Linked DNA regions of Callithrix jacchus. The protein of the gene in region 4 interacts with the protein of the main gene of each other region in a pairwise test. Links are inferred from orthologs where the notes say so. Each region holds a gene or a part of one and is shown on either strand. Other genes may lie near its edges.

Region 1 (4,549 bases), on a different chromosome or scaffold from region 4:
GCGTTCATCAGGGAGAGCTGGGCGTGGGGAAAGGCGGCGCTGCTGACCTGCAGCCACTGTGCCACCGCCAGCCCAAGCCCCAGACTCAGAGCCCTCCCTGGGCCTGCAGTGTACACACACCACATGAGCTCCTCAACCTCGGGACTGCGGTGGGAATTCAAGCCATTCCGGCATTGGCCATGCACAAGGCCTGTTCTGGGAGCCCACCAATGTGACCCCCGGAATCTCATGGCACATCAAATACAAAGCCAGGCCTCAGGAAGCCTGCCAGCCCAGTGCCCACACCTTAGGCATAGAGTTGGTACCAGATGTGCAGAGGACAGATCAGGCCAGGAGAATGTCTGGACAGGGAGACCCCAGCGTGAGCCCCACCATGTCGCTGATTGATAGGGAGACCCCAGCGTGAGCCCCACCGTGTCGCTGATTGATAGGGAGACCCCAGCGTGAGCCCCACCATGGCCCTGAGGGAGCTCACAGGAATGTCTCGGAGGGTCTGGGTCTCGGCTTTTGGCCGCCCCTTTTTCTTCCCTTCTGTCTTGTCGCTGGCTAGACTTCCTGGGTCAAAGCAGAGAGGGGCTTGGCCGGGCACTGTCTGTCCACCACGGACCACCGGCATCCCTGCAGCACAGAACACAGCAAGGCTGGAAGCCGTGCAGCACTGCCTACTGCTGGGGGCTGCACGGGCCCACAATGAGCACCACTGTCCCAACGCCAGGGCGCCAGGCCAGGGGCTGTGGCCAGCTGAGGACAAGAACCCAGGGCCCTGGACTACATCCAAGGTGAGGCTACCCTGCTTATGTTCTCAGGAACCCCATGGCCTAGCTGGGTGCCTGAAGACAGGACGTCGGGAGGTGGCCCACTCCTATGACTTGCTGCCCAGAACCACCTGGAATCGACTTTGGCCGACTCCTCTTACCCATCTTCGGTGGGTCGTGCAGCATCGGCAGTCGGACCTCCTTTCGGCTGCCATCCTTCCCGGGACCACTCTTGCTGGACCCTGGGAGCCGACGGCCTCCAACACAGAAAGGATCCGTCATCTCTGCAGAACAAGTGGACATTCTGTGAAGCATGACAGGTCCCCTGAGAACACGTGATGGGATCCTGGAGCCCCGTCCTCCGCAGGCCCTCTCTGATCAGGGAAGAGGAGCCTGGCCTCCGTGGTTTTGCTCACATGGGAAAACAAGTGATGGGGGCTTCGGATGTAGGGGGAGCTGCCTGTCAGGGTCTCCTCGGACAACCCAGGAGGCATCGTCAGTTTGGAAGGACCTAGTCCTGTGCTGAGACCCTCACCAACTTCCAGACCCCCTTCCTGACAGGTGTGCAGCTTTGGAGATGCTGCCGAAGCTGACGCACTCCTACCCAGAGCTGGGAGGGGTGTGTCCCCAAGAGAGGTGCCTGTGCAGGAGTAAGGAGGCTGGCAACATTCCTCCGGGGGCCAATTATGTCTCGGGTGATGGCTGCTGGCTCACAGGCTGCCTGGGCCCAGCAGGGGGGCCCACCTTCTCACCGGAGCCCTCATCTCTTCCCAGGCAGACCTGATGCAGTGCCAGCCCACCCAGGCAGGCACCCTTGGAATCCTCACCAGACGCAGATGGAAAACAGTTGAGGTGGGCTGAGGACCCCTGGCCTACTCTGGCACTGCACCTAGCTCCTGTCCCCGCCCTTGGCGGCCTTGTCTCCAGGCTTGGCGGCTGATCTGCCCCCCCACCCCACCTCTCTCTGAAGCCTCTCAGTCCCATCTACTGACCCGCCACCACCACTTCAACCAAACGAGTCTCAGAAGCACCGGCAGTGAAGGCCCAGGTTGCTGGCCAGAGAGAACGTCCTGCTGCCCCAGGCTGGGCCCCTGAGGGCCTGTACTGCTGCAGAGCTGGGGAGCAGAGGAGATGCTGGGCCCAGACCTGTGGAAAGGCCCTGCAAGGGGGTGGGGCAGGAAGCAGGGTGAGGGCTGAGTGGGGAGGTGGCCCCTCCTGACAGCTTCTAATTAACTTGGATCCCAGAGTATGGGAAGGGGCCACTGTGTCCAAAAGGGCCAGAGAGCAGGGTCAGAGGTCAGGACAGTCATCGCCCATTGCCAAGGGGGAGGCCAGTGTCGGGGACAAAGTTCTCTGGAAGGCCTCACTTTGCAACTTCGAAAGGAGACAGGGCCGGCAGGAGTCATCCCAGCCCCTGACGACCCCGGTGGCCTGGGGTGCAGGTGCTTGCTGAGGCCCCACGTCCAATTTTTTTGAAGCCTGGGCGAAGAATTCACAGTAGTGGGACCTGAGGCCAGGGCCAGCCTGGGGGCAGAGACGCGACTCGCGCCCCGGATAAGGGGCTTCGGCCCTCCCGAGCCCAGCGGGGTCACCGAGCCCTGGCGGGGAGAGGGGGCTGGCCGCGCTGCGCGCAGAAGACGCCAACTGCGGGGCCGCCGCGTAGGCCGCTCCGCCCGGGACCCCGGCCCGGGCGCGGCGCGCGGGGAAGCGCGGCCAGCGACGCGCACCTGGGGCCGGCCTCGCCACCCACCTGTCACCTGGGGCCGGGCGCGGGGCGCGGGCCTCGGCCTGGCCGGGCAGGGCCGGTCACGGGCGCGGGGTGGGGGGGCGAAGGCAGTGAACCAAAATGGCGACTTTTTCTGGAGAAGGAGGAGGCAGGAAGACGGCGCCGGCGCGGGGCGCCGGGGCTCGGGCGCGGCGGGGGGCGGGGGGCTCTGGGCCCGGCCCCTTCCTCGGCCCGCGCGCGGGGTCGAGATCGGGCGCGGCGGGCGCCGGGGCTGCGGCTGAGTAGGGGCCGGGGCGCGGCCGGGCGCTTACCTGCGGCGCCCAGCGGGGCTGCGGCCGGGCCGGGCCGGGCCGGGCCGGGGGGCGCGGGGCGCGGGGCGTGGGGTCCGGGCGGCGCAGGCTGCGCGCGGCGCTGCGCACATGCGCGCTCCCGCCCCTCCCACCTTTGACAGTTTTACTGCGCGGGGGAGGGGGCGAACTCTCGCGTTATTCCCGCGGCCGCTTCGCGACAGGGAGGGGGCGGGAGGGGACACCCCGCGCTGCCCCGCGACCCCCCTGCTCGCGGTGTCGCCCCCGTCGGCAGGTCCCGCAGCCCAGAGTAGACAGTTCTGCAGTCCTGGGGCGGGGGCCGTGTTTTGGACAGTGGGGTAAACTGAGGCCCATAGCGGGGCTGGGCACTGCCCGGAGCCCGGCGCGCGGATTGAGGCGGCCTGATTCCACCGCGTCCTGGCCGGCGCGGCGAGGGCGGCCTCGGGGCGCGTGATCCTGACCTCTGGCCCTGGGGGCCGTGCACCCGCTGGGCAGGATTCAGCCTCTTTCCACCTGACCCCCAGCGGGGATCTCCTGGCTCCTGGCAGTGCCTGGCGGCTTGAGGACATGGGGCCTTACCGGGGTCACTGACCATTGGGTCAAGCTTTCCTGGCTCTGGGGGCAGTGGTTCTGAGCCAGTGCCCACGCCTTCTCTGCCCCACAGCCTGGGCTTCTGCAGGGGACACTGGGGTGCAGTGTGGGCTGGGCGGTCCGGAGGTGACCGAGCACTGATAGCACCGGGCTGGGGAATGAATGAGGCACAGAAAGGTGTGCTCTCAAGAGCACCCGGAGGAGGTCTGTGCGCCTTACCTGGGAGGCCCTGCACCGGTCTCGCACAGGACCTACAAGAATTTCCCCCAGGAGAGCCCGCCCACCTTTCCTTCCTTCCCTTCCTCCCTTCTTTTCCTCCCTTCCCTCCTCCTCCCTCCCTTCCTCCCTCCCTCCTTTCCTTCCTTCTCTTCCTTTCCTCCTCTCCCTCCCTCATGCTCTCCATCCCTCCCTTCACTCCTTTCTCTTTCTTTCCCTTATTTTCTTTTCCCTCCCTCCCTCCCTTCCTTCCTCTCCTTTCTTCTTTTCTTTTTTTCTTCTGGAGATAGGGTCTCACTCTGTCATTCAGGCTGGAATGCAGTGGTGTGATCTTGGCTCACTGCAGCCTCTATAACCTGGGCTCAAGCAATCCTGCCACCTAACCCTTCCAAGTAGCTGGGACTACAGATGTGTGCCACCACACCTGGCTAAGTTTTAAAGTATTCATACAGACAAGGTCTTTCTGTGCTGACCAGCCTGGTCTTGAACTCCTAGGCTCAAGCAGTTTTCCTGCCTCAGCCTCCCGCAGTGTGGGCATTACAGGCGTGGCCCACCACCTACAGCTGGCAGGGCCATTCTCACCTGATCACGGTACCTATCTCCCAGGGAAGGCCTCAGGCCTCAGGAGGGAAGAGTCAGGGAGACTCTGGGTTTTCATCTTGTGCCTACAGAGCTTTTTTTTTTTTGAGATGGAGTCTATTTCTGTCACCCAGGCTGGAGTGCAGTGGTGCAATCTCGGCTCATTGCAACCTCTGCCTCCCAGGTTCAAGCAATTCTTCTGCCTCAGCCTCCCGAGTAGCTGGGATTACAGGCGCATGCCAGCCACTATGCCCAGCTAATTTTTTGTATTTTTAGTAGAGACAGCGTTTCACCAAGTTGATCAGGCTGGTCTCGAACTCCTGACCTCATGATCCACCCACCTCAGCCTCCCAGAGTGCTGGAATTGCAGGCAT
Region 2 (3,761 bases), on a different chromosome or scaffold from region 4:
TACCCCAGCCTGGGTGACGAGAACAAAACTCATCTCAAAAAAATTATAATTAAAAAAAAAAAAAAAAGTGAGGCAAGGGGAATGTTTTCAAAGCCCCATCCTGGGCGGTCATGATGAGGACCACTGACAGAGTCTCTCATCTCCACGCTCTGAAAGCATCCACCCGGGAGAGTCAACCCTGGCTTGGGCCCTCCACACAGCACACAGCCCTTCCTGGAGGGCCAGGCTCTGAAGGGAGTTACGTGACGTTGGTCAGGTCAAGCCTAAGACAGGGAAGGGCAGGGCTGTGGGCCCCCAGGCCTGGGCAATTAGGCAGCATGGGAGAGTGACTCACAAGGGCAGCATGCAGTGCCACAGCCGGCATGGCTCTGAGTTCATGACAGAGGCAGGGAACCCGCCTGCCCATAAAGGAAATGAGAAAACCCCAAGAAAATACAACTCGGCTGCCACGTGACCCATCTCCATCAAGACTTCCCCCTGCGCCAAGCAGAGTGCTCAGGCCAGGCTGGGCCACTCCTGACGGCAGTAGGCACGGGAGTAGCCGGAACCTTGGGAAGCAGCCCTGGAGGAGGCAGGTCTGGATCTGCCCTGGCTCACAGGGACCTGTGATACTGAAACCCTCTGCCATCCCTCACCCAGGAGCCCCCAGAGGTCCATGAGCAGAGAACACTCAGGCATTGGGTAAAAAAAAGTGGCTAGACTCCACCCAGAAGGTTGTTCATTTCTTCCCTCTGGGTCCTGGCTGGTGCTAAAGGCCACCTGCCTCCCTCTCTCTTTTTTTCAACTGGCACAATGCTGACCCATGTGTCCAAAGGAAGGAAAGCTCTATCTCAACTGACTCATCTGTAGGGTATTTGTGGGTAAGCAGACAGCTGTGGGAGAGAGGATCGGAACCCCTGGGGCTCTCATTCCAGCCCACCCAGAGGTGCTCCCACCCAGAGGTGTTCCTCACCGCCTGCAGCTTCTCCGTCAGCTCCCGGCGTCGGTTCCGGCACTTGGCTGCAGCCAGCTTGTTCCTCTCCCTCCGGATGCGACGCTTCTCCTCCTCTTCAGGAGACAGCTAGAGGCCAAACCCAACAATCATGATTAGAACAGGGCCAATGGTTCAGAGCATCATGATTAGAAAAGGGCCAATGGTTCAGAGCATTTTTTTAAAAACTGTATTTTAAGTAAGGCAAGAAGCCCTTCTGGAAATGGGGAGAGGAGGAAGAAAGGTAAGAGGAGCATGGCTGGACTCAGAGGCCCCAGAACATGCGGCTCACTGATGTCTGGTAGCCTGGAAGGGGTCTTTGAGCTGAATCTGCCCCAGGAGGTGATGTCCATGTTTAAAGTCCATGTTTAAACAGGACAGCAATAGGTCAGGGATTCGCTGGCCCTGGCATGATGGCAGCACCTGTCACATCAGCCCTGATTCAGTGCCCAGACCAGAGAGAAGGAGCTGGGGATGCTTCTCCAAGAGCCCTCTCCAGCTCCTGCCAGCCAGGCGTGGCCCCACTAACTTAAGCAGCTTCTTCCAAACCCCAGCTAATTACTCCTCCCATCACTTTGCCTGCTCTGCAAGCCTCATTATCCCTATTTGGTTAAGTAGCTGGGCCTGGAGTCCCCACACAGGTAAGAACCACCCAGGGGGAATGTTATATTGCTGTTGGGAGGGCCAAGAGTGCTACTCCACTCCGGATTTCCTCTGCCAATCCCAGGGTGCCAGCTGCTCACAGTTCAACTCCAAGTACTCCTCCACATGCCTGATGCAGTGCTAGGTTGGACAGGACATGCAAAAGGAAGAGGAGCCCCCAGCAGGTATAATCCTGCTGCCCACCATACCCATCCACTCAACGAGTGAGCACCTGCTTCCATGTGCAAGATACAGTTCTAGAGGCTTAGGATTTATCTGTGAACCAAACAAAGGAAGACTCCCCTGCAAAGAGCTTAGGGTCTACATTCCTCCAATGAGATGGTTAGGAACTTGTCTCTCATGCCAGAGGGCATGAACTCCGCTCTACTGAGCAGGGCCAATGCTCTGGTTACACAGAGCCTTGCAGAGCTGTGACCCCAATGCCTCTTTCAGGCAGAGGTGACACAAGGAGCCAGCTGTGGGCCAAAACAGAAAGCAATGCCAAGGGAAAGATCACCCATTCAGTTATCAGACATTGACACCTACTAAGGTATCAAGGTGTGCATCAGACTGCACACCTACTAAGTGCCTGGTGCTATTCTGGGGGCTTAGATGATTTCAAGGAGAATAAGACCTGGGTCAGCTCTCATGGGACACCTGGGGCAAAGTCAAAGCTGCTTTTGTAGGAGCAGGAAGAAGTTGTCCCATGGGGGGATACTGCCTGGACTTTGGGTCACCCCATGAAGGAAAGAGCCACTGTTCTGGTTGAAACCAAGTCAGAGTCCCACGATGCTCCCACTAGCCCTGGAGGTCTGTTGCTGTGATGTTCTGAACGGCCAAGAGAGGACAATCATCACAGCACCAGAGAGGGTAATCCCATGCCTGCCACACAGAGAGGAGGCCACGGCCTGGCTGAGGTCATGAGGCCACTTGGCCAAGGCCCTGGATACTTGCTGCTCCTAAGCCTGTCTTGACTTGAGCCCGGCAGAGTTGCCAAGAAAACCTTATGGCACTGCTGCAGGCCTGGGTTTAGGGCTCACCACTGAAAGGGCCACCAGGGCTCCCTATAAGGCCCAGGAAGCCCCCTAGATCCCTCGCTGAGAGGCAGAAAAGAAGGAGGCTGGCCTTGACCCCACTCCAAGCCTTCCTCCCCACTTGGCTACTTCTGGACAACTTTTGGCCTCCTGATTGACCTAGAAGTCTCTCCCCTGACTGGTGAGGTGTGGGGCAACTCGTGGGAGTTGTCGACATAGGAAGTGATCCGGGCCAGTGAGATCAACATGGTTCCAGCTTGAGTATGTCAGCACCACCACGTACCCACCCACAAGCCACACACCCCTCTCCTCCCCATCTGCTCAGCGTCGCTGCCACAGGGCACAGAGGGAGCCTCCCAGGCAGGCTCCAGACGAGGCCTATGAGGCACCAGGTCAGCTCCGGGGACAGGCTCCTCCCTAGCAGGGCAGCTTGGGGAGGTTGGGGCCGGCTGGAGTAAGCTTCAGAGCAAAGCCCTGAGGGCTGGGAACCCAAATAGCCAGGGTTCTAGGCTGCTACTGACCAGGCTTCCTCAAAGCTGCTGAGTGATTGTGTGAATTCCCAACTGATGTGGGATAAAATGCTCCTTGTTCTCTCCCTGCCTCTCAAAAAAGGAAGGAAATTCTCCAGACAGAGTGTATGAGGCACGCCTAGGTGGTGTGGTGGGAAAATCATAGGGCTGAAGGTCAGGAGAAGTGGGTTCCAGTGCTGGCTCTGCTACTAACTCACTGTGTGACTCTAATAGAGCCCTTCAGGCAGGGCGCAGTGGCTCAAGCCTGTAATCCCAGCACTTTGGGAGGCCAAGGTGGGTGGATCACGAGGTCAAAGAGCGAGACCATCCTGGTCAACAAGGTGAAACCCCATCTCTACTAAAAATACAAAAATTAGCTGGGCATGGTGGTGCGTGCCTGTAGTCCCAGCTACTCGGGAGGCTGAGGCAGGAGAATTGCTTGAACCCAGGAAGTGGAGGTTGCAGTGAGCAGAGATCGCGCCATTGCACTCCAGCCTGGGTAACAAGAGCGAAACTCCGTCTCAAAAAAAAAAAAAAAAATAGAGCCCTTCGCCTTTCTGGGTCTCAGTTTTTTTATCTACAAAATGGGTATAAAGGGGAAATGAG
Region 3 (4,206 bases), on a different chromosome or scaffold from region 4:
CAGAGGTGGTTTTGTTTGCAGATACTGTTAATATATTAGTCTTTACTTATAAATCTCTCTGCTGCAGAGAAAATGATATAGAAACTGCAAAGAGAGTAAGTAGGAAAAAACTAAACTCAGGCATCTTTTTAGATAAATGCTATTGTCTATCAAGACTTACCAAACGCCACATTAGTCCTTAGGAAATGGATTGTGCAAATATGAAAAATAAATTTTCTTTTAATTTCTCTATGGAGATGTAATGAAAACACAAGTAATCTGTGGTCATGAACAATTAGAACTTGAAAGTTAGTCCCCCTTCTAAGTATAAAGAAAGTATAAAATAAAAATCACCCACAATCCCACCATTCAAAAATCACTACTCAATATTTCAGCACATTTCCTTCCAATCTTTTTTTCTATTTTAAAAATCATAATAGGCCAGGCACGGTGACTCATGCCTGTGATCCCAGCACTTTGGGAGGCTAAAGTAGGCAGATCACTTGAGGTCAGGAGTTTGAGATCATCCTGGCTAACATGGTGAAACCCCTTCTCTACTAAAAATAGAAAAATTAGCCAGGTGTGGTGGTAGCAGGTGCCTGTAATCCCAGCTTGAGTGACTGACTCAGGAGAATCAATTGAACTGGAGAGGTGGAAGTTGAGGTGAGCTAATATTCTGCCACTGCTCTCCAGCCTGGGTGACGGAGAGAGACTCTGTCTCAAAAATAAATCACTTAATTTAATTTAATTTAAAAACATAGTAAATAGGCTATCTTTAAAAACTCAAGGTTTACTTAGACCATTTATTAAAGAAGTTTGTCCCCTCATCCCCAGGAAAAAATTTTCTATTATCCTCCTGACCTGCAATGCATTCATCCCCTTCAAAGGCAACTCATCAACAGAAAAATCAAATGACACTTTAGCCACTCAGCTGCTTTCCTTCATATTTGAAGCATAAATCATTTAATTAAAATTAAAGATTAACAAAGCCTTGGTCATTGGCATGCATCCTCTTAATTCCAAAGATGGCTTAGCTATTCTTAGCTGTCAGTTTTTTACAAAGGTATTTGCAATGAAAGGGTCAACTTTAGACTTCTCTAAACCTCTGCTCTACCTCTCTCTCTCTCTCTCTCTCTCTCTCTCTCTCTCTCTCTCTCTTTCTTTCTCTGTTAATAACCTTCCTGGTGTTAGACTGGTGTTAGATATTTGTTTAATAATCAATAGTGGCTTCTTTTCCTATCATTGAGTATTTCAGAAAGTAGCATAACCAAGTCAATGTTTAACTGGATTCTTTGGGTCTGAAGTGGCAAAGTTGAAGGAAGTCTCCATGGAAACCAGCCTCCCAGGAAGTGGCCAGAAGGGTTAGTGTGCAGTGATATAGAGCTAGAAGGATGCCTGCTAGAAGGAAATGACTGCTTTGTAAAGCCAGGGTAAACTTCTGAAATGCCTTGATTAAAACAAGCTATATTAAAGACCCCAAAACCACTTCAGTCGCAGCTTTCCTCTGAATGTCTTTCACATGAAATGGGCCTGAGTCGCTCTAAGGCTCACCCTAGGGTGATCAAAGTAGCACCTTTGCAAAACAAAGAGGGAGAGACTCCCTCGGCTGGCCCTGTGGACTTTGCATTCAATCAGAATTTGGAAGAAAAGACTTCATATTTGCCGGCAAGACTGCAGGACCAGAATAAAGCTTCGGAAGGGCAGCTGCCACCTTTACAAGAAACCTCGTATGGAAGATATTCTGCAGGTAAACATAAAACCCAGCACGAGATGTGTGCATCTGGATCAAGGAGCATTATTAATAGATTTATCTGACTGTCTCCATGATCTCAAAAAGTTCCGAAATTACTGAAATGTAAAGGAATTTAGGCTATCTTTGAAAACTCAAACAGATCTTTCAATGAAGATTAAATGTCAATTGAAAGTATTCTGGGTACATTAGAGTGGGAGTATAAACTGCACAAAGGGCTTTTCACTGTTCTATATGAGAAGGAAAAATCATTTCCTTTCAGCTCAGTTTGTAATGCTTTCAATGTTTATACCTAGCTTTGCCAGACGATTAAAATTATATAGATACTAATGTGATAAACGATAGCAATCACGTTTCAGTTAGATTCTAAATTTAAATCATTCTCTCCAGTACAGTTTAATGCACCAGGCTTTGTGGTTTTCAAAACAGCACTTTAGGAGTGAAGTCATTCTAACGTGAATTTTGAAACCATCCTAAACAGAATTGATTTATTGCAGTCCAGAGGAGTGGATGAGTCACCCTTTCCCAGCCCCACATTCTTCATGGTCGTCTGCAGAACGAACAGAATTCTTTAACATTATGATTGGAAGCTCTAAGCCTGAAGTGGCTATAAATTATCCTGGGATATTTTATAAGCCATGTAAAATATTTTATGATGGCCACAATGATAATTAAACAGATATTCTCACTTAGAAAGAGAAATATATGTTTATAATATACACATACGTATACATGTATATTGTTTTCCCTTTTCTTCACCTTCTGGATCATTAACGCCAAGAAGTTTCCCTTATTGGAAGCCTTGTTCAGAAAGCCTCACTTTTTCTTTTGGTACCTAGTAAATCTTGCCTGGAATGATTTTTTATGGCTACTGTCTGGAGAACTGATAACCTTTGGTTGGTTCCATATGACCTATTTTTATGTTCTTTATACTCTCCAAGTTCTTAAGCACATGGATGGGAATTTTCCTCTTAAAATTTTTTAATGGTAGATAGATATATAGGTGATTAGACATGATTTTAAAAATGGAGCATGAATGTGTAATAAGAGTATGCAATGCTCCTCTTGAAGAATTCCTTTTTTATTCAAACTCCCTTCCAGAGTTTTAAGATTTTGGTAACAGAGACTCTTTTTAAAAAAAAAAAAAAAGATTTTGGTAACTGAATAAATGGTGAAAGCTGATTCATGTGCTTTAGAGTCCTAACTGGAAAATGTGCTTATGTTTGAAATGACAAAATCACATTAAATATAAATAACCAGGAGATCATGAGGATTCTGATAAGTATTTTCCATATTCTTACCCCAGCTCCATCAAATACCAAATCGTATGACCTTGGGCAAGTTACTTCATCAATTTTTTTCACTTGTAATCAAGGGTAAAAATAAATGCCTGACATAGCCTATGCCATTTGAGGAGAATCTAATTAAATAATGAAATAATATCACTAAGATCATAAAACAAAATAAGTAGTAGGAAGCTTCTGAAAAAAAAATAGCTGAAAATACTTACATTTTTAAATCCAATATGTTTGTTGTTCTTTCTGTCCTGCTCAGTACACTGGCATCTTTTCAAAAGAAAATAAGGACATGGTTTCCATCCCACTAAAAGTTAGAACAAAGTTCCTAAAATGGTCATTCACATGTCTTAAGGATAGAGATGCATAATTACTCAGGGATTTTTTCATTTTAAATGCAAAGTGGGACTGTAAAATAGTCTACGAAACAATCTAGAAATCAGACTGTGCCCAGATTGTTAAAAGGGAAGGACAAGAATTTCATTCATGCAGCGTTGGTCATGGTAGCACTCCCAAGAGCTCAGGATAATCAAGCTGGAAAATAAAATCCATATGGACCTGTTGAGCCTCTCTGTTTCCTAATAGAGGCTTAACTCTGTATTCCCGGCTTGTTTTATCAGGAAAGAATATTGCTATGTTGTATTATAGTAGCAACCTGTGGACATTTCTTTCCTAGTTAAAAGGACTATTTGATTGTGATTACACATAATCCATTTCTTTCTCATCTTTGTGTAATCACCTATCATCTATTTTATCTGAGAAGATTATTTTCATTTTTTAAAGTTACATGTTTTTTCTGATGTCTTATATTTTGGGGAGGAGATTTTATGGAATTAAAACAAGTCAGTAAATGTCTGTTTACCAGACCAAATTCTGTTTGAAAAATACTTGCAGTCAACATATTGGTAATTTTGTAACTCTTTCCCTGCATATGAACCTGAGTAGGAAGTTAAGAGAGCAGAAATTGAATCCTGGGTCTAGACTAAAATAGTGTCATTTGGACTAATGTGGGTTCCCTGCTTTCTGTGTTTCATCTCCACATTCAACCCATGTTAGATATAAATAACTGAAAAGGTACAAAATTGTGTTGACAAACTCTAGTAACCAATGATTGCCTGGTGTAATTGTAAATTATATTTAATGATTTACTCTTTTTTATTCTCCAATCCTTCAAGCTTCCAG
Region 4 (3,478 bases):
CCGGGCTGCGGCTGCCAGGGTCAGGGACCAGGGCGTCGCCCCGCCCATCTCCCCACTTTGGGGGATAGCCCCCCTCGCTCATTCCCGCCTCCACCCTGGACTTGAATTACTGTTGGCGGAGGGCGGGGGGAGGGGGTGAGACGGGGGACGGGGCGTGACCCATTCATGCCGGGAATCGGATCCAGATGTTCCCGCGGCATGTGCAGCTGCATCCTTTCCTTTTTTGGCAAAAAACGTGCGGTGCGAGCGGATCCCGGGCCGCCCCCGCTAATCCTTGGGAAGAGGGGGAAGGGGGCTGAGAGGGTCTGGGCCCAGACTCGGGATCGGAACCGGGTCCTGGCTCTGCGGGCTTTGGGCAGGGCTCCTGGTGGAGGGGACGATTTGCACCAGCCAGTTAAGGAACCCCACCGCCACCCTAGCTTTCGTCTGGAACCTCCCCTAAACCCCTCCCTTCCCTAAATGAAGGAAAAAGCCCTCTGCCAGCAGGGAGGCAGGCCCAGCTCCAGAGGGACAGTAGCTGTGGCGGGGATCCCCTTCCTGGGGAGAGACTTCCCACCCGTGGCCCGGCCCCGCTTCCTCCGCCCTGCAAAGACGAGGTCTAGAAGAGATTCTGAGCCTCCCAGTCTGTAAATACCCTTCCCCTCTATATCCTGAACACACATACAGAGGCCCTGCTTCCTCACACCACTTTATTGCAGAATCTAGAAGGGGGGGTGAGCCAATCTCACCCCTCTGCCCATCTCTGGGCAAAATGGAGCTGAAATAAAATGAGGAGATACTTGGTGGACACAGGCTGGGCAGCACCCTGTCCCCTAAGGCCCCCTAACCAGTGGGCCCCTTATCTGCTGCCCCCAAAGCCAGCCTCAGCCCTGGGGATGGGGTGGGGTGGGTCGAGCCTGGGAACAGTAACTTTTGAGGACTTCTCAGGCACCCATAGGAGACCTAAAATCTATAAAGAGAAGTCTATGTTTAAGGGGGCCTAGGTCCCAGAGTTCGGGTTTGGAGGACTGGAGTCTAGAGCCCAGATTTGGGGAGAGGACTCAGTCTGGGAACCCAGACTGCAGGGCAGAGGGCTGAGTTCTGGAGTCCAGGTGTGGGGAAGGGGCTTGTCTCATGGAGGCTCCATAAGAGCCCAGGTTTGGGGGCCTGGCTCAGGGAGCACCAGTTTGGGGATGCTGGAGTAGGGAAACAATCCCGGAGCCCAGAGAGAGACCCACACTGGGGAGGGGCTGGGTCCCAGAGGTGGTTTAGAAGAGGAGCCACAGTCCTGGGGCAGTGGTACTGGAAAGCCTGGGCTCAGGAGCCCTGGCTCAGGGCCCTGCCTGGCTGCAGCCCTGGCAGAGCACTTGGTCTCCATCTGGCACGAAGCCTTGGCCCACGAGGGAGGTGGAGCAGCGGGCACAGGAGAAGCAGTTGTGGTGCCAGTGTCGGTCTTCAAAGGACACATACTTGCCTCCACCGAGTCCTGGAGGGAGGCCGGAAGTTAGCTCTGCAGATCCGGGGATGGTCTGGCCCTCAACCTCGCCCAATACCACATCCCACTCCCTTGCCTGCAACCCTACCCGCTCCATTCTTTGACCCTTGTCCCACCTACGATGGGGCGCTTGCAGCTGCTGCACTTAGGTGCAAAGAGTTCTCCAAAACAGGCTACACAGTACGGATCTTCATCCCGGGAGGTGAACTGCTGCCCTGCCAGGGGCGTCTGGCACCCAGTACAGACCAGACATTCCCGATGCCAGGGCTGATCGCGGTATGTCACTCCACCCTGTGTCAGCGTCTGTGGGGGCAGCATCCATTAGTAGGTATGAGTGGCGATTCCCACCCCACAACGGGCCTTACCCCCACCTAGCTGGCCCAGCCCCCACCTTGCTGCAGCGGGCGCAGCGAGGAGCAAACTTGTTCTCATAGCACGGCACACAGTAGTGAGCACCCTTGTCGGGCACAAAAGAACGGGAGCCCAGCGGCTGCTCGCAGCCACTGCACAGGAAGCAGTGCTCATGCCACGTCTGGCCTCCGTACTCCAGCTTCCGGGAACCTGTGGGGAACAGGGGTTACACTCAGAGGCTGTGTCCCACGCTCTTGAGGGCCACGCTCTGTTACTTCTCCAGAGTCTCCACTGCTCTCACAGCCTGAGCAGGGTGACGTCCATGCACATGCAGCAAGACCCCCCGCCAGGTACATTACGCATGCTAACCTCTCCCCAGACACCAGACATGATGACTCAGCACGAGCTAGACATGAGGATTTTGGCATATGTTAAGCCCCTGTATGTCCCAGATATGACTATTTCAGTACACAGCAAGCCTCCATGTAATAGTCATGAAGTCTCACTATGCGCTAAGTCCTCATATAACAGATGTGATGGTTTCAGCACTCACACGGGACCCCACATGTGTCAGGCAAATAAGTATCTGCCCACACAAAGTCCTAATGCCCTGGGCCTGACGGGTTCAGTACATGCTAAGCCCTCACATCTCCTCAGCACACCATTGCCCGTATGTGCTGAGTCCCAACATTTCTGTTAGGCATGCAGTTCCCCACATGTTAAGCCCTCTGTTTACCTGCCTCTGCACACGCTAAGACCCAATGCACCAAGCATGACAGTCTCAGCATGCCTCTAGCATCTACATGTACCAAACATGCAGATATTCACACATGCTAAGCCTCCAAGTATGTATCAAATGCGTCAATCTGCCAGCACATAGTGAGCCCCCAGGAGACCAGGCAAACAGATCCTGCATACACTAAATTTCCAGAAACACGGTGTTTGTGCAGGTTTTTACACAGACCAAGTATCCATGTATGAGACAGACACATGCCAAGACCCTACGCAGATGCCAGGCATGCCAGTTCTCATACAAGATAAGCCCCTTGGGGACATACCAGGCATGACAGTTTCCCCACAGGCAGAGCACTGCGAGGAAAATGCACTGCAGTAGCAGTCATTGCAGAGCAGCTCACTGTCCTGGCAGGTGAAGGGTTCATCAGCTAGTGAGCGCTGGCAGCGGCAGCAGCGGAAGCAGCCCTCATGGAAGTGGCGGTCTTCATAGAACAGTTCCTGTGGGGAACACAGCAGGGACGCTGGCACCCAGGCCTGGTAGATCCATCCTTTGCCCCCTTCCTCCAGTCACCACCCACCTCCTGCCCAGCTCGGTCCTCTCCTTACCCTCGAGTCATGCCCGATAAGCTGTTGGCACTCAGCACAGGTGTTGGCAAAGGTATTGTCATAGCAGGGCACACAGTAGGGGCCGCTGTCTGTCTGGATGTACTTGCGTCCATACAGGGACTCACTGCATTTTGCACAGTCAAATGACTCGCTCATGGTGGCAAGGGGAGAGAACCCTGTGGGGAGCACAAGGTAGAACTGGGGTCACGCAGAGGGGCTGTGACTTGGCTCCTGGCAAAGAGCCCTCTGCATTCAATACACAGCAAGAAACCTGGCATAGGAAATGCTGGTTCAGAGTAGGTGGGGATGGGG
Region 5 (4,322 bases), on a different chromosome or scaffold from region 4:
CAGACTCCAGATGCAGCAGGTGGATAAGAAGCAGGAAGACCTCCTTTGAAACCTGTCAGGAGTCCCTCGTGCCTCCTATGCCATCACCTGGCCATGTCAGTGGCATGAAGGCTCCTACCATTTATAATAGGGACACGTTTTCATGGCCTTTTATAAAACCGAAAACATCCGGAGCCATATGAGTGAGTGTTCTGGTCTTGTTGTTTTTGGTGACAGGGCCTGGCTCTGTCACCCAGAGTGGAATGCAATGGCACAATCACGGCTCACTGCAGCCTCAACCTCCTGGGCTCAAGCAATCCTCCCACCTCAGCCTCCTGAACAGCTGGGACTGCAGGTGCATGCCACCACACCCAGCTGATTATTTTATTTTATTTTTGTAGGGATGGGGTCTCACTATGTTGCCCAGGCTGGTCTTGAACTCCTAGCCTCAAGTGATCCTCTCACCTCAGCCTCCCAAAGTGCTGGGATTACAGGTGTGAGGCACCCTGCCCAGCTGTGTCTGGTCTTTTTCATAGAAATACCTGATCTCCAGGGAAAACTCAGGGTCATTTGACTCTGGGAAAGTGATTCTCAAATGCTCCAGCAGTGTTAGATAAGTAATCACCTTCTCACGAGAGCTCAGCCATTCATGCAACACAACTAAATAAGCATTCACCAGACCTTTCAATGATGAATGTTTTGACAAAGAAAAAAACGCCCCACAACATTCTCACCCCAAAATGGCTGTCCCACTTTCCCAGGTCCCTCTGTCCATTCACCTGGACCTGCAGGAGGCTTGGTTCCGGGAGATTCTAGGGGGGCCTGAGGTCAAGCTCAAAAGGCATTTGGCTTCCCCAAAGGCCCACAGGCTCCTGTGCCCACCAGTGCGCCTTGCCTGCCCACAGGCTATGCCATCAGCCTGTACTGCCTCTTAATGTCACAAGTTAACATCTCATAAAGTAAAATACCAGAAAGAAAGGAACCCTTCATTGATTTGCCTCAAAACTGACTGCTATAAACTGCAGGAGATGGTTGGGTATATGTATGACTGCTGTGCGTCTGGTGGGTGTATGGGGACAGAGTGATGTCAGCATGCATGTGTGACTGCCTGGCGTGTGGTGGGTGTATGGGGACAGAGTGATGTCAGCACGCATGTGTGACTGCCATGCTTGTGGTGGGTGTATGGGGACAGAGTGATGTCAGCACGCATGTGTGACTGCCGTGCGTGTGGTGGGTGTATGCGGACAGAGTGATGTCAGCACGTCCATATGCACTTTCCTCCTCTTTTAAAAACTCCACTCCCAAATGTATTTACTCGCTGAGTTCCACCCTACCCTCTCCCAAACAAGTTGAGGAACCTCCCTCCTCCCCATTTGTCATGCTGGAACTTTGGGCCCCTCCCTGGGTGTACCCCTCCCCGTCTCACTGTTGACCTATTGAGAACCCCAGGTTTTTAGCCTCTTCTTTGAGGCTGCCCACCCCCTGGCCCCCCAACACCCGGTCTTGCTTCCCACTTACGGGCATCTCGTGCACGGTGGGGGCTCTGCTCCCGTAAGCCTGGTTACTGGTCCTGTACACTGAGACAGCCTTCTGGGTGCTGGTGGATGAGAAACACTGTTTTCATTCATTCAATCTAATTCTGTCCAAGCCACAGCCTTGTATTTTGTTGGCGGCACTCCCCTGGAAATGCTCCCAGGGAAAGAGCCATGTGCCTGGCTGGGCTGGTGATGCAGCCTCAAAGGCAGCCTCCATGAGTGCCTGGCTGACGGTCCTGGATGGCCCAGCTTCCCTGGCCCCCTCTGCTCACAACTGTCCCTGCTCTTTCAAAGCAGGCCAAAGCCCTGAAGAGCAGGCAGCCAGCAAGTGCTGACCCCCAGCCCTGGCAGGGCCTTGGCACACGCTGCAATTTCTGGGTAACTTAGTCACCTTGTCAGGAGTGGAGGCTTGGCCTCCAGATCCTGCCACCCAGAGGGTCCCTCTGCCTCTGAGCCCCCACCCTCGCTGAGGCCATGCTTCTACTGGTACCACTGCCCCTGTCAGGGACAGGCCACTGAGAGGTTGCAGGCACACAGAGTAGCTCCACTGTAACCCCAGATCTTGTCCAAACTATTCTTCCTACATCCCCATCATCTCTCTGGGAGAACGAGGATACGAACAAACCCTGCCCTAGAGGACTGTTGAGAAACCAAACCCGGGGGCACCGCCAGATGCCTGCACCTGCCTGTCGGAATTCAAAGTTCCTTACTACTTCTTAGTCTGCGGCGCCCTGTGGCAGCTCACAGTCCGCAGCAAGACAGTGGAGGTGCTGCTGTGCTCATGCCCTGCAGCAGAGTTTCAGGGTAGAGAGGAGAGGTGACTCATCCGACACAAAACCGCGGAGCTGAGACCACAGCTGGGCTTTCTCATCCCCCCGCGGCCCCGCACCGCCTGACCCCGCCTGAACCCGCCTGACCCCGCCTGACCCTTTCCTTGTATCAGGCTCTAGGGAGCACTTCCTCAGCTCACTGGTGGGCGATGACAGCGCGGGCCCCCGATGACCACTCGCTCCTCTTGACTTCCGTAGCTAGGATCTTGGGGGTCTTGCGGGGCCTCTCAAACAGGGATATGGAGCAGGGGACGCCAGGCCCAGGCACGCTCCGGCTTCCTCACCTGTAGCCCCGGAACCACCCCGGGTTGTTGAATCGGCCCGGCAGGTCCGCGCTCACTCGGTAGTAGTCGTTGGTCCTCTCCGGCGGGGCCGTGGCCTTGGGCTCCACAGGCTCCCCGCACGGTCTGGGGCTTTCCTCGGCCATTGCGCCTCCGGCGGGAAGCGGGACTAGGCCGCGTCCTGTTGCCTAGCGACGGCCAGGTCACGTGACGGGGGCGCGAGCGGCGGGGCCTTAAAGGCGCAGCGCGTGGACCGGGCTCCTCGGAGGGCGAGTCCCCAGGGACCGGGAAGGTCAGGACGGCCAGGGATTCCCTGCTGGAACCGTCGTGTGGGGCAGCCCTAGGCCTCCAGCCGCCCGCGGGGGCACCGGGGCACCCCAGCATCGGGGCGTGGGCTCCCGGGGTAAAGGAACCCCAGGGCCTAGCACCCCGCCAGCCAGGTGACGGGGTTTAAGCGCTGCCGGTTCACGCGGCAGGCAGCGATTGGACGTCCGCTGTCCAGTGTCCTCCAGGGATGCCACGCCCCCAGCACCCCGAGTCTAAATTGAAACCCGAGATCTCGCTAACTCTATGCGATTCTCCTACGCCAAATATCGTTTAAATATTAAAAACAATTTTGGAGAGCCAGAGGTTGCGCGAGACGTGGTTCACAGCTCACGTGGCGGGAGGCGAAGGTCCCCATCGCTCAGCGGGTGCCCCCAAGGGTCAGGGGACTCCCGGGCCGGCTCGGCACATTAGCAGGGCGGGGCAAGCTGCAGGGCGAGGAACGTGGCCCCACTCCCCGCCAGAGACTCTAGAGCCCCGGACCCCGGGTCCTGCTCCGTCGCCTGCTCCGCCCCCGCCTCCGCCTCCGTCCCCGCCCCTCGTCTGCCCCGCCCCCGCCTCCGTCCCCGCCCCCTCGCCAGCCCCGCAGGGAGGTCCCTGCGGCCCGGGGACGGCGCCGTGGCTCCTCCAGGCCTGCAGGTGGTGCTGCGGCCCCGCGCGGACGGTGGCGGGAGGGAAGGCCGCTCGGCCGGGCCCGGAGGGAGGCCCCGTCCCGTCCACGTCCCCGCCATGGCGCCTTCCTCGGCAGCGCTGCCTCGAATGCTCGGCGTGGGTGAGCGCGCTTGCGGGACCCGCGGGAGGAGGATGCGGAGGGCGCGCGGGGACCCGAGGGGGCGGAGGGGACCCGGAGCGGGCGCGGAAGGAACTCGGGGAGGGCGAGGGGACCCGTGGGGGACGCGATCGGGGCGGGCGTGGTGCAGCCGCGGCGCGGCGCCAGGACCTCTGTCTGCTTCCCTCAGGCGCCCGGGCCCCGTCGCGCTGGCTGGGCCTCCTCGGGGAGCCAACCCCTGGGCCTGCTCGGCCGAGCCGCAGGACGCTTGGAAGCGCGGCGGCCCCCGCGATCGGCGAGCCGGAGGACGGCAGCGGTAACACTGGGCGTCCCGCCGAGTCGGGTGGGAGCGAGGAGAGGCCAGCAGCCGCCGGGGCGGCGAGCCCTGGAGGGGCCCGGGCGCTGCGCGCGGTTGAAGCTGCGCGCCCCGCCGGGCTTCTCCCGCCCCCGAGCGCGCCGCCGCTCAGTCCTGTCGGACCCAGCACCCCAGGCTGAGGCCACCGCCTCTCCAGGGATGGGTGCGAGGGAGCGGGCGGACCAGTGGGCAGCCCAGGCTTCGCTCCCTAGGGGTTGTCACTGGCCCACCGAGGGTCGGAGCCCCAGG
Region 6 (4,528 bases), on a different chromosome or scaffold from region 4:
CCCAGAGAGAAGTGGGGAGGACAGAGGCTCTGCGGAGATGGCCAGGGGAGGCCAGAAGCACCTGGATGCAGCGGCCGGGCAGGGGCCTCGGCAGGCACAGCGGCACCTACCGGGCACTGTGATGGTGAGGGTGGTGTCCTCCAGGAACCGTTCGGTCCAGTACACAGATGGCCTAGAACAAGCAGGTGGCTCAGGGAAGGGGGCAGAGAGCCCAGGACCTGCCGGAAAGAAGCCCAGGTCTCTGTTGGGAGGGCGGCCAAGGGGAGGCTCAGAGTTGCAGGGAGAGGGGGAGGCCAGAGGAGGCCACTGCAGGGGACGCACGGATTGTCCTGAGTAAGGCTCGTGTCCAGAGGGGGAGGCAGCTGGGGGAAGAGCGGAACCACAGACCCAGGTCACAGCTGCTTGCCCCGAGTCCAGAGCACAAGGCTGAAGTCAGGAGCAGCCCTGGGGGCAAGAGCCTCCAACCTGAGGAGCCCTCCCATCCTTCTCTCTGGAGAGAAGAGGGTGGCCGACTGAAGGGGTTCCCTGGAACCTGCTGCGTGTCCCCCAGCACAGACAGATGGCGGAGACGGCCCTGGACTTACCAGTACAGACAGAACTGCAGGCTCGTCTTGCAGGGGGAAATCCAGGCATAGCCCCCACAACAGCAGCCCTTCCTGTGAGGAGACGGGGGCCGAGCCCCCACCGCCTTTTGTCCTGGGTCTCCCGTTTGCTCCCGGACTCCTCACTCTCCTCTGGCCACCGCCCGGAGGGCCAGAGTTCCCAGTGAGTCCTGGTGTGTGGCCGTAGCCAGCTAACCCCTGAGTCCATCGGACTTGGTGGCGGTTGGGGGAGGGGAGCCAGCAGAGGGGACGGGGGAGCCTGGGAGGGTGCAGAGGAAGCCCCAGCCCTGCCCCCGCCCCCACCGTGGCCTCACCTGTCTTTCACGACTTGCCAGTCTCTCTTGGGCTCTGCCAGCTCCCTGAGCCTCCGCCGCCTCCTCTTCTTCCTCGCTCTGGCCACGGCGGTGCCAGGGATCTTCTGGCTGATGGACAGCCGGCTTCGGGAGAATTCCATGTCTAAGCTGGAGCTGCTTTTCCACCATGATGCATTTGGGAGCCAGACGGCCTGGGCCTTGCTCAAGCACCTTTCGTCGGCCACTTACCCCACCCCCGTCTCCTGCTCACGCCTCCCCCTCCCCCCCACCGTGCCCCCCACCCCACCCCTGCCACACACACATCTCCTTTCCCGCCAGGGTCTCCAGGGGGAGGACTTTGGCCTCAGGAAGGCCTGGACTGAACCCCAGCTCCAAAGTGTGCGGGATGGAAGACCCTGGCCGGGACTCCTGACTCCCTAGGCCTCAGCGTCCTCCTCTGTGAACCGGGGATGAGACTGGCCCCCATCCGGTGGGGTGCCTCAGTGAGTACTGAGGGGATGTTCACTCAACCCACAAGCATCTATCAAGGAGCTACTGTGTGCCAGGCCCCAGAGGGGCAGCCAGGCTACAAAGAGCACAGCTCCTGCCTCCCAGGAAGCTCACAGACTGCGGGAGGACCAGGCAGCAGGTGACGGGGTTGAGCGCCGGGACCTCTGCCCACCTCCCTGCCCCTGTGTCCGTCCTTGACACAGCCCTGGGCTCCCACGTCCTCCCCGGGAGCCCCTCATGCCCCGCTGTTTTCTCTGCAGGTCAGCACAGCCCGAGAGAGCAGGGCCGCTGCTGAGTTCTTGGCAGCACGGGTCGTAGCCGGGGAAAAGGCCCAAGAAGAGGGCCCACGGGAGAAGGGGCAGCTGGGCTTGGACGTGCGCGGAGACCACGCGCTGCGGGAGGCGAGGAGCGAGCCCCGGAGGCGCCAGGCGTGCACTCCTTGCTGGGGTCACTCGGGCAATTTGCCCCAAATGATTGAATCACCACCCCTGGTGCTGATTCACCAAATCATCATGGGATTTCACCATGTTCGTCAGGCTGGTCTCAAACTCCTGACCTTGTGATCCGCCCGCCTCAGCCTCCCAAAGTGCTGGGATGACTGGCCTGAGCCACTTCTCCCCAGACAAATTGGGAAATTTTTTCCCCCATTTCTTTTTCTCTCTGATATGAGGTCATCACTTGTAAACCCTGAATTCTGGGCGCCGGAACTCAGCGTGCCTGACTCCAAAATCAGTTTACTCCCCCCCCGCCACTGCACGGAAGTGTTTGCTGGCGTCTGCCTCGGACCCCAGGGAGGGGTGCTGGCCGCCGTCTGACCCAGCCCACACCCAGGCCGCCCTCTGACTGGGCCAACACCTGGGCTGCCTCAGCAGGGCCCCTTGGGAGCAGCAAGCCAGGGAGAGGCTGGGAACAAGACTTTCCTGTGCCTGGGAAGCTGCCCTGGGGACTGCTGGGTGTGGGGGCTGCTGTCTCCCCCATGGCCAGGGGCTGAGCCCTACCCCCACCCCGTGCCCGGGCAGCCCCCTGCCCCCCGGTGCCTACCTCATCTCAGGAATGTCCTCCTCTGCGTCCTGGTCCAGAGCTCTCTCCAATTCATAGACGGCGTCTTTGGGGTCCAGGGTCTCTGGGAGCTCCTCCCCGGCCCGCTCCTCAGGGGGATGCTCCCCTTCTGGGTCTTCAGGGCCCAGCTCTGCATGGCCCAGGTCCTGGAGTCTGGGCTCTGTGGCCCGCCGGCTCTCGTTCGCAGAGCTCTGGAGGCCGCGAGGGTCACCATCCGGCTCCTTCTCTGACCCACCCCCAGCCTCGGAGTGCTGGCTGCCCAGTGAACCCCGCCCTTGCCTGGCGTCCCCCATATGCAGGTGGCTCCCCAGCCCACGGCCTCTCTCCTTCCACACCCAAATGTGTCTGTGGTCACCGTGGCGACAGGAGAACGCCCCCACATTCCCCACACCCACATTCTAACCCCGGGCTGCCCACAAGGCCGGTCACCTGGGCTTGTGCTGGGATCCAGGGTTAGTCCTGGATTGTTTAGGAAGGACACCTGAGGGGATCTGCAGAGGGCTTCCCTCTATTAAGACACAGAGGCCGGGCGCGGTGGCTCACGCCTGTCATCCCAGCACTTTGGGAGGCCGAGGCGGGTGGATTACGAGGTCAAGAGATCGAGACCATCCTGGTCAACATGGTGAAACCCCGTCTCTACTAAAAATACAAAAAATTAGCTGAGCATGGTGGCGCGTGCCTGTAATCCCAGCTACTCGGGAGGCTGACCCAGGAGAATTGCCTGAACCCAGGAGGCGGAGGTTGCGGTGAGCCAAAATCGCGCCATTGCACTCCAGCCTGGGCAACTCAGCAAGACTCCATCTCAAAATTTAAAAAAAATTAGCCAGATGTGGCGGCATGTGCCTGTAACCTCAGCTACTAAGGAGGCTGAGGGAGGAGAATCCCTTGAACACAGGAGGTGGAGTTTGCAGTGAGCCGAGATCCTGCCATTGCACTCCAGCCTGGGTGAGGGTGAGACCCTGTCTCAAAAAGAAAGGGGGGGCGCAGGGGGCGGTGGTTCCTGCCTGTAATCCCTGCGCTTTGGGAGGCCCCGAGGTCAGGAGTTTGAGACCATCCTGACCCACATGGTGAAACCCCATCTCTACCAAAAATACAAAAATTAGCCGGGCGTTGTGGGGCACGCCTGTGGTCCCAGCTACTCAGGAGGCAGAGGCAGGAGAATGGCTTGAACCCGGGAGGCAGAGGTTGCAGTGAACCAAGATCGCGCCGCAGCACTGCAGCCTGTGACAGAGGGAGACTCCATAAAGAAAGAAGGCCGGGCGTGGTGGCTCACGGCTGTGCACTTTGGGAGGCCGAGGTGGGCAGATCACAAGGTCAAGAGATTCAGCCCATGGTGAAACCCTGTCTCTAAAAAAAAAAAAAGCAAGAAAGCAAGACCAGAGCGGTCCTGATACGCAGCTGTAGGAGGTGCTGCTGTTTCTGGGGCTGCGGCCGGAAGTCACTGGTGACGTTCTTCCTCTGTGGTTGGGGAATGAGCTCGTGAATGGGTCAGTGACTGGGTGGATGGAAGTAAGGCCTTACCGTTCACCCAATTCTGGGCTCCTTTTTCCTTGCAAAAGAAAATGGCAGGAGGAGAGAGAGAAGGTGAAGGAGTTTGCCATCAAATCCACCCGTGCCAGTCTCTGAAATGCCCCCCACCGGATTCATCTTGAGACAGCTCCTGTCCCGCAGACCCAAAGAGGGAGGGCAGGGCAGATTTCACGTATCAGAGATGCAGCATAGCAACATTTCAGTCCAAACAGTTGTGAGAGATTGTCGCAGAGCTGACAACATCCTGCTACCTAGTGAGGAAATGTCCAGCACAGAACGCAGAATCCCCAGGAGTGGCCAGTGCCCCCCGTCAGCTGTGACGTCCAGCACAGAACACAGAATCCCGAGGTGTGGCCAGCGCCCCCCATTAGTTGCTAGCAGGACTGCCGGTCATGCAGCCACATGCCACTGAAGCATGCCCCTCTCCTATGCCCAGTGGCACCATCAGAGCCACCCGGGTGGGGCTGTGGGTCCCCAGAGCTTCTGCTTCAGGATGGAGACTCTCTGCCACCCGGTCCCCCTCCCTGGGCCCAC
Region 7 (3,761 bases), on a different chromosome or scaffold from region 4:
ATTTTTTATTTTATTTTGTATTTTTGTAGAGATGGAGTCCCACTATGCTGCCCAGGCTGGCTTCTAATTCCTGGCCTTAAGTGATCCTGGTGTCTCCACCTCCCAAAGTGGTATTACAGGCGTCAGCTACCACGTCCAGCATTAAAGCCCTATTTGAGTTTGGGGTCCCTCTTGAGACTGGGCTATTACTTGGGTCTGGAGGCAGAGTAGTGTCTGGGGACCCTGGCATCCTACCCGGTCCTCGCCGCTGCCCGTCTCCTCTTCCTCGGGTCCTCGCGAACTGGAGCCGTCGCTGCTGCCTGGGATTCGCATTAGGTTCTTTTGCTCGGGGAAAGAGGCTGAGGCTGACGAACAGCGAGGGGCGGAGTTAGCGATGGGCGGGGTGACAGTGTGTGCAGACCAATAAGCGGGAAAAGAGAGGACTGGGAACCAACGAGGCGGATCGGGTGGGGTTGTTGGGAACCAATGAGAATCCTTCCCAGGCCAAGGAGCGTGACCCTGGGAAGGGCGAGTTAGGGCTTGAGGAGAGCTAGCCCGGTTCCGGGTGGAAACCTGAAGGCGACCTACGGGACTGGAGCCAGGGCCCAAGGCCAGGTCAGGTCACTGGGCAGGCAGGGTGTGTGTGGGGTTGGGGCCTGAGGAGCAGGGGCGGGGCTCAGGCACTGACCCTTGCCGTGGCGCCAGCAGCAGAGGGCCACCCCAGTGATGACCATAAGGAGAGTCGTGGTGGCAGCGGCCACTCCGGCCACTATCCGCACAGTGGGTAGCAAATCTGCAGGGAGTAGAGGGGACATCCTGAGAAGGCTGAGGGGGAACCAGGAAGCGGGGGCTCAGGGACTGAGTTTGGGATCCCTGGGTTCAAAAGGTCTCACATTTGGAGAGTCAAAGACCCTTGAATTTTGCAAGTATGTGAGTTTAAATTCCCTGGCTTTAGGGAGTCCTAGAGTTTGAGGGGTCCTTTACTTTGCAATTTGCTTTGCAATCGTTGGAGGGTCCTTTTTGGGGCCCCTCAGTGTGAGGGGTCTCTCAGTTAAGGATTCAGAATGTGAAGGCATTTGTAGTTGGGGGGTCCTGGGACTCCATGAGTCCACAGTTTTGAGACTCCCAAGGTTTGGAGGTCTCTGCATTTGAGGGTCTGAGGTTGGCAGCCCTCGGTTGGGGGATCCCTGCGTTTGTGGGGTTTAGACTCTCCAGATTTGAGGTCTTCAGGCTGGGGTCTCACCTCTACGGCCCAGGCTGGCCCTGGCACCTCCCTCGCCCAGTCGGTTCCGGGCACTGCAGTTAAAGCTCCTGCTAAAGTCAGACTCCTGGGTCCCCGAAATGTGTAGCACCGAGATCAGGCCCGGACCCTGTCCCTCATGGCCCTCCGGGGCAGGGAACGTCTCCACCAGGAACCGGCCCCGGGACCCTGCCTCCAGGAAACCCTCATCCCAAGACCAGACCTGGGGGCACAAAAGAGGGAGGACACCGAGGAGACAGGAGTGGGGGAAGAAGCGGGAGTGATGTCTGGGAGGTCAGAGATGGTCACAGCAGTTTAGGAGGGCCAGGTGGGAAATCAGGGATCACAGCTGGATGGGTCATGAGTGGAGTGACATTTCCTTACCACGGCGTCTGGGGCGGGAGAGGCAAAAACCAGACACTGGAGGCGGGCGGGGCCCCTCAGGAAGGCAGGCGCAGAGTGTAGGGCCGTCACTACTGGGGGAGCTGGGATGGAGACAGTGGGTCACTCAGGACAGGTCTTGCCCCAAAGACTGTAACAAAGCCGGGCCGGGCCAAGGCACTCTCATCCAATCAGGCCACGCCGTTTCCAAACTCAGATTCTCCTAAAAGCCTCGCCTTCGATAGGTCCAATCTTCATGCCCCGCTGGGTGTAAAGCTCTTTCCAGGCCACTCCCACTGCATTAGGCCTGGTCCCCCCGTCCACTCCCAATCCAAGGGCCCTCTAGGTGCCCTAGGAAGCCCCGCCTTCTCACCGTTCACGGTCAGGCGAGCCTCCGCGGCGCCGCCCCCCCGGCCCGAGAGCCCAGGCTCAGCCCTGCACACATAGTCGCCTGCGTCCTCGGGCCCCACCGACGGAAGGCGCAGCGTGGGTCCAGAGCCCAGCACCTGCGACAGGGAAGGGGCGTCAGAAGTCGGATTTGCAAGCAAACCCGGTTCCCCGCCAGCTACCGCCTCAGATTTAGGGTTGCACCTGCGCGCCACCGCGGCGGATCCAGGTTACGCGTGGAAGCGGGTTCCCGCGCCAGGCACAGATGAAGGAGGCGTCTTCTCCCACGTCCACGGACACAGGCTCCGGCTTTGCCTGTAGAATCGGCCCAACTGGACGAGGGAGACGAGGGGTCACATGGCCAGGGCGGAATGCAGCCCCTGATCCTGGATCAGCCCCACAGAAACATGACACCCTCTAGGGCGCGAGAATAAGCCCCAAGTTCACACGCTCCTTCTCCTAATAATCCACGCCCACTCTCCAGGCCCCGCCCCTCCAGGTGCCGCCCCAACAGCCCTGAAAGTCACGCCCACATTTGACCACACCCACAGCCCTGCCCCAACTCACACAGCACATCCAGCGCAGTGGTGCGGTTAGCGCTACCCACGGCGTTGCTGACCTCGCAGGAAACGGGCTCAGTTAGGAACGAGGCATCTGCCACGACCTCCAACCTTGGCCCGCGGGCCCCGAGCACCGGGGAGCCCCCTTTTGCCCATCTGAGGAAGTGGTGGCGCAGTTAGTGTCCTCGCTCTCTGGCACACCTACTCTGGTCCCAGCCCTTCCCAAGCTCATCTTGGGGCTGGAGAGAGGTGGTCTTCGTCCTCACCTGTAGCCTGTGACAGGAGGTTGGGCTGTGGCGTGGCACAGGAAAGTGACCTTCTCTCCCTCCTGTACAGTGTGTGGCGCAGCAGACAGAGTCACCTCTGGGGGGTCTGTGAGGGTGGGATGATGGTCAGGACTAGGAACACCTCTGTCACTGGCCTAGGGGTCCAGTCCCTAGTTCCTCCACCCCAGGAATCTGGGCCCCTAGTCCCCTTCTCCCTTTGAGCCAGGAGTCTAGGCTTTCAGTTCCAAGTTCCTCCAGGCATCCCAATGTGCCAGCCTTCTGTCCTCTCCTACTCTCCCAGAGGTGGGAGTCCAGGCCCAGCTTCCTCTTTCTCCAGGGACCCCAGCCATCTGTCCTCTCCTGCTCAGAGTCTCACTCTGTCGCCAAGGCTGAAGTGCAGTGGCACTATCTCGGCTCACTGCAACCTCTGCTTCCCAGGTACAAGTGATTCTCCTGCCTCAGCCTCCCACATAGCTGGGATTACAGGCATGTGCCATCTCGCTCAGCTAGTTTTTGTGTTTTTAGTAGAGACGGGATTTCAACATGTTAGCCAGACTGGTCTCAAACTCCCAACCTCAGGTGATCCGCCCACTGTGGCCTTTCAAAGTGCTTGGGAATCCAGGCATGAGCCACTATACTCTGCCCTCTCCTGCTCTTTTAGATCCAGGAGTCCAGCCCCAGTGTCCTGGTTCCCCAGGGGCCACAGTCCCCTCCTTCCTCATACCCAGTAGTCAGGGCCCCACACCCCTCTTTGTAGGGCCGGCTGCACTCACACTGCAGGCTCAGTGTGATAGCTGTGTCCCTTCCCGCGGGCAGGGCCTGGCTCCGGGCACGGCAGACCAAGGTGGCTCCATCATCATGGCTGGAAGGAGTCAGGGTTAAGGTACTCTCCACTGACTCAGGGGTCCCTTCCTTCAGCAGGGTCTGGAGGGATGGATAACAATAATA

Evidence for each region.
Region 1: the proteins of FHL3 (region 4) and ZNF512B interact in binary tests that used the Homo sapiens proteins (3 or more experiments, as listed by UniProt). The two-hybrid records come from large-scale screens. The link is inferred for Callithrix jacchus from reciprocal best matches to the Homo sapiens genes FHL3 and ZNF512B.
Region 2: the proteins of FHL3 (region 4) and FOSL2 interact in binary tests that used the Homo sapiens proteins (3 or more experiments, as listed by UniProt). The two-hybrid records come from large-scale screens. The link is inferred for Callithrix jacchus from reciprocal best matches to the Homo sapiens genes FHL3 and FOSL2.
Region 3: the proteins of FHL3 (region 4) and CCDC198 interact in binary tests that used the Homo sapiens proteins (3 or more experiments, as listed by UniProt). The two-hybrid records come from large-scale screens. The link is inferred for Callithrix jacchus from reciprocal best matches to the Homo sapiens genes FHL3 and CCDC198.
Region 5: the proteins of FHL3 (region 4) and PIERCE1 interact in binary tests that used the Homo sapiens proteins (3 or more experiments, as listed by UniProt). The two-hybrid records come from large-scale screens. The link is inferred for Callithrix jacchus from reciprocal best matches to the Homo sapiens genes FHL3 and PIERCE1.
Region 6: the proteins of FHL3 (region 4) and SPMAP2 interact in binary tests that used the Homo sapiens proteins (3 or more experiments, as listed by UniProt). The two-hybrid records come from large-scale screens. The link is inferred for Callithrix jacchus from reciprocal best matches to the Homo sapiens genes FHL3 and SPMAP2.
Region 7: the proteins of FHL3 (region 4) and KIRREL2 interact in binary tests that used the Homo sapiens proteins (3 or more experiments, as listed by UniProt). The two-hybrid records come from large-scale screens. The link is inferred for Callithrix jacchus from reciprocal best matches to the Homo sapiens genes FHL3 and KIRREL2.

The regions. Positions count from the first base shown.
Region 1 is NC_133506.1:59,440,607-59,445,155, forward strand, and holds the start of ZNF512B (zinc finger protein 512B), read right to left. Parts: upstream 2,901-4,549; 5' UTR 2,793-2,900; intron 2,640-2,792; exon of another isoform or gene 2,506-2,639; intron 1,915-2,505; exon of another isoform or gene 1,871-1,914; 5' UTR 1,748-1,870; intron 1,060-1,747; 5' UTR 1,059-1,059; coding exon 917-1,058; intron 619-916; coding exon 476-618; intron 18-475; coding exon 1-17. UniProt on the Homo sapiens protein: Involved in transcriptional regulation by repressing gene expression. Associates with the nucleosome remodeling and histone deacetylase (NuRD) complex, which promotes transcriptional repression by histone deacetylation and nucleosome remodeling.
Region 2 is NC_133515.1:86,640,126-86,643,886, forward strand, and holds part of FOSL2 (fos-related antigen 2), read right to left. Parts: intron 1,061-3,761; coding exon 953-1,060; intron 1-952.
Region 3 is NC_133509.1:92,135,148-92,139,353, reverse strand, and holds the start of CCDC198 (factor associated with metabolism and energy), read left to right. Parts: upstream 1-1,364; 5' UTR 1,365-1,503; coding exon 1,504-1,726; intron 1,727-4,199; coding exon 4,200-4,206. UniProt on the Homo sapiens protein: May be involved in tuning the metabolism, energy expenditure, and excretion processes.
Region 4 is NC_133508.1:74,574,051-74,577,528, forward strand, and holds the end of FHL3 (four and a half LIM domains protein 3), read right to left. Parts: intron 3,343-3,478; 5' UTR 3,323-3,342; coding exon 3,167-3,322; intron 3,059-3,166; coding exon 2,884-3,058; intron 2,036-2,883; coding exon 1,866-2,035; intron 1,778-1,865; coding exon 1,591-1,777; coding exon of another isoform or gene 1,563-1,590; intron 1,466-1,562; coding exon 1,311-1,465; 3' UTR 676-1,310; downstream 1-675. UniProt on the Homo sapiens protein: Recruited by SOX15 to FOXK1 promoters where it acts as a transcriptional coactivator of FOXK1.
Region 5 is NC_133502.1:184,009,573-184,013,894, forward strand, and holds the start of PIERCE1 (piercer of microtubule wall 1 protein), read right to left. Parts: upstream 2,802-4,322; 5' UTR 2,772-2,801; coding exon 2,629-2,771; intron 1,577-2,628; coding exon 1,498-1,576; intron 1-1,497. Other genes in the region: MRPS2 (small ribosomal subunit protein uS2m), read left to right, coding at 3,679-3,721, 3,909-4,034. UniProt on the Homo sapiens protein: Microtubule inner protein involved in the attachment of outer dynein arms (ODAs) to dynein-decorated doublet microtubules (DMTs) in cilia axoneme, which is required for motile cilia beating.
Region 6 is NC_133523.1:385,026-389,553, forward strand, and holds the start of SPMAP2 (sperm microtubule associated protein 2), read right to left. Parts: upstream 2,812-4,528; 5' UTR 2,758-2,811; coding exon 2,447-2,757; intron 1,040-2,446; coding exon 917-1,039; intron 657-916; coding exon 585-656; intron 173-584; coding exon 111-172; intron 1-110. UniProt on the Homo sapiens protein: May be involved (but not essential) in spermatogenesis.
Region 7 is NC_133523.1:32,042,130-32,045,890, reverse strand, and holds part of KIRREL2 (kin of IRRE-like protein 2), read right to left. Parts: intron 3,738-3,761; coding exon 3,587-3,737; intron 2,920-3,586; coding exon 2,814-2,919; intron 2,704-2,813; coding exon 2,555-2,703; intron 2,320-2,554; coding exon 2,192-2,319; intron 2,107-2,191; coding exon 1,974-2,106; intron 1,705-1,973; coding exon 1,604-1,704; intron 1,443-1,603; coding exon 1,223-1,442; intron 773-1,222; coding exon 668-772; intron 345-667; coding exon 235-344; intron 1-234. UniProt on the Homo sapiens protein: May regulate basal insulin secretion.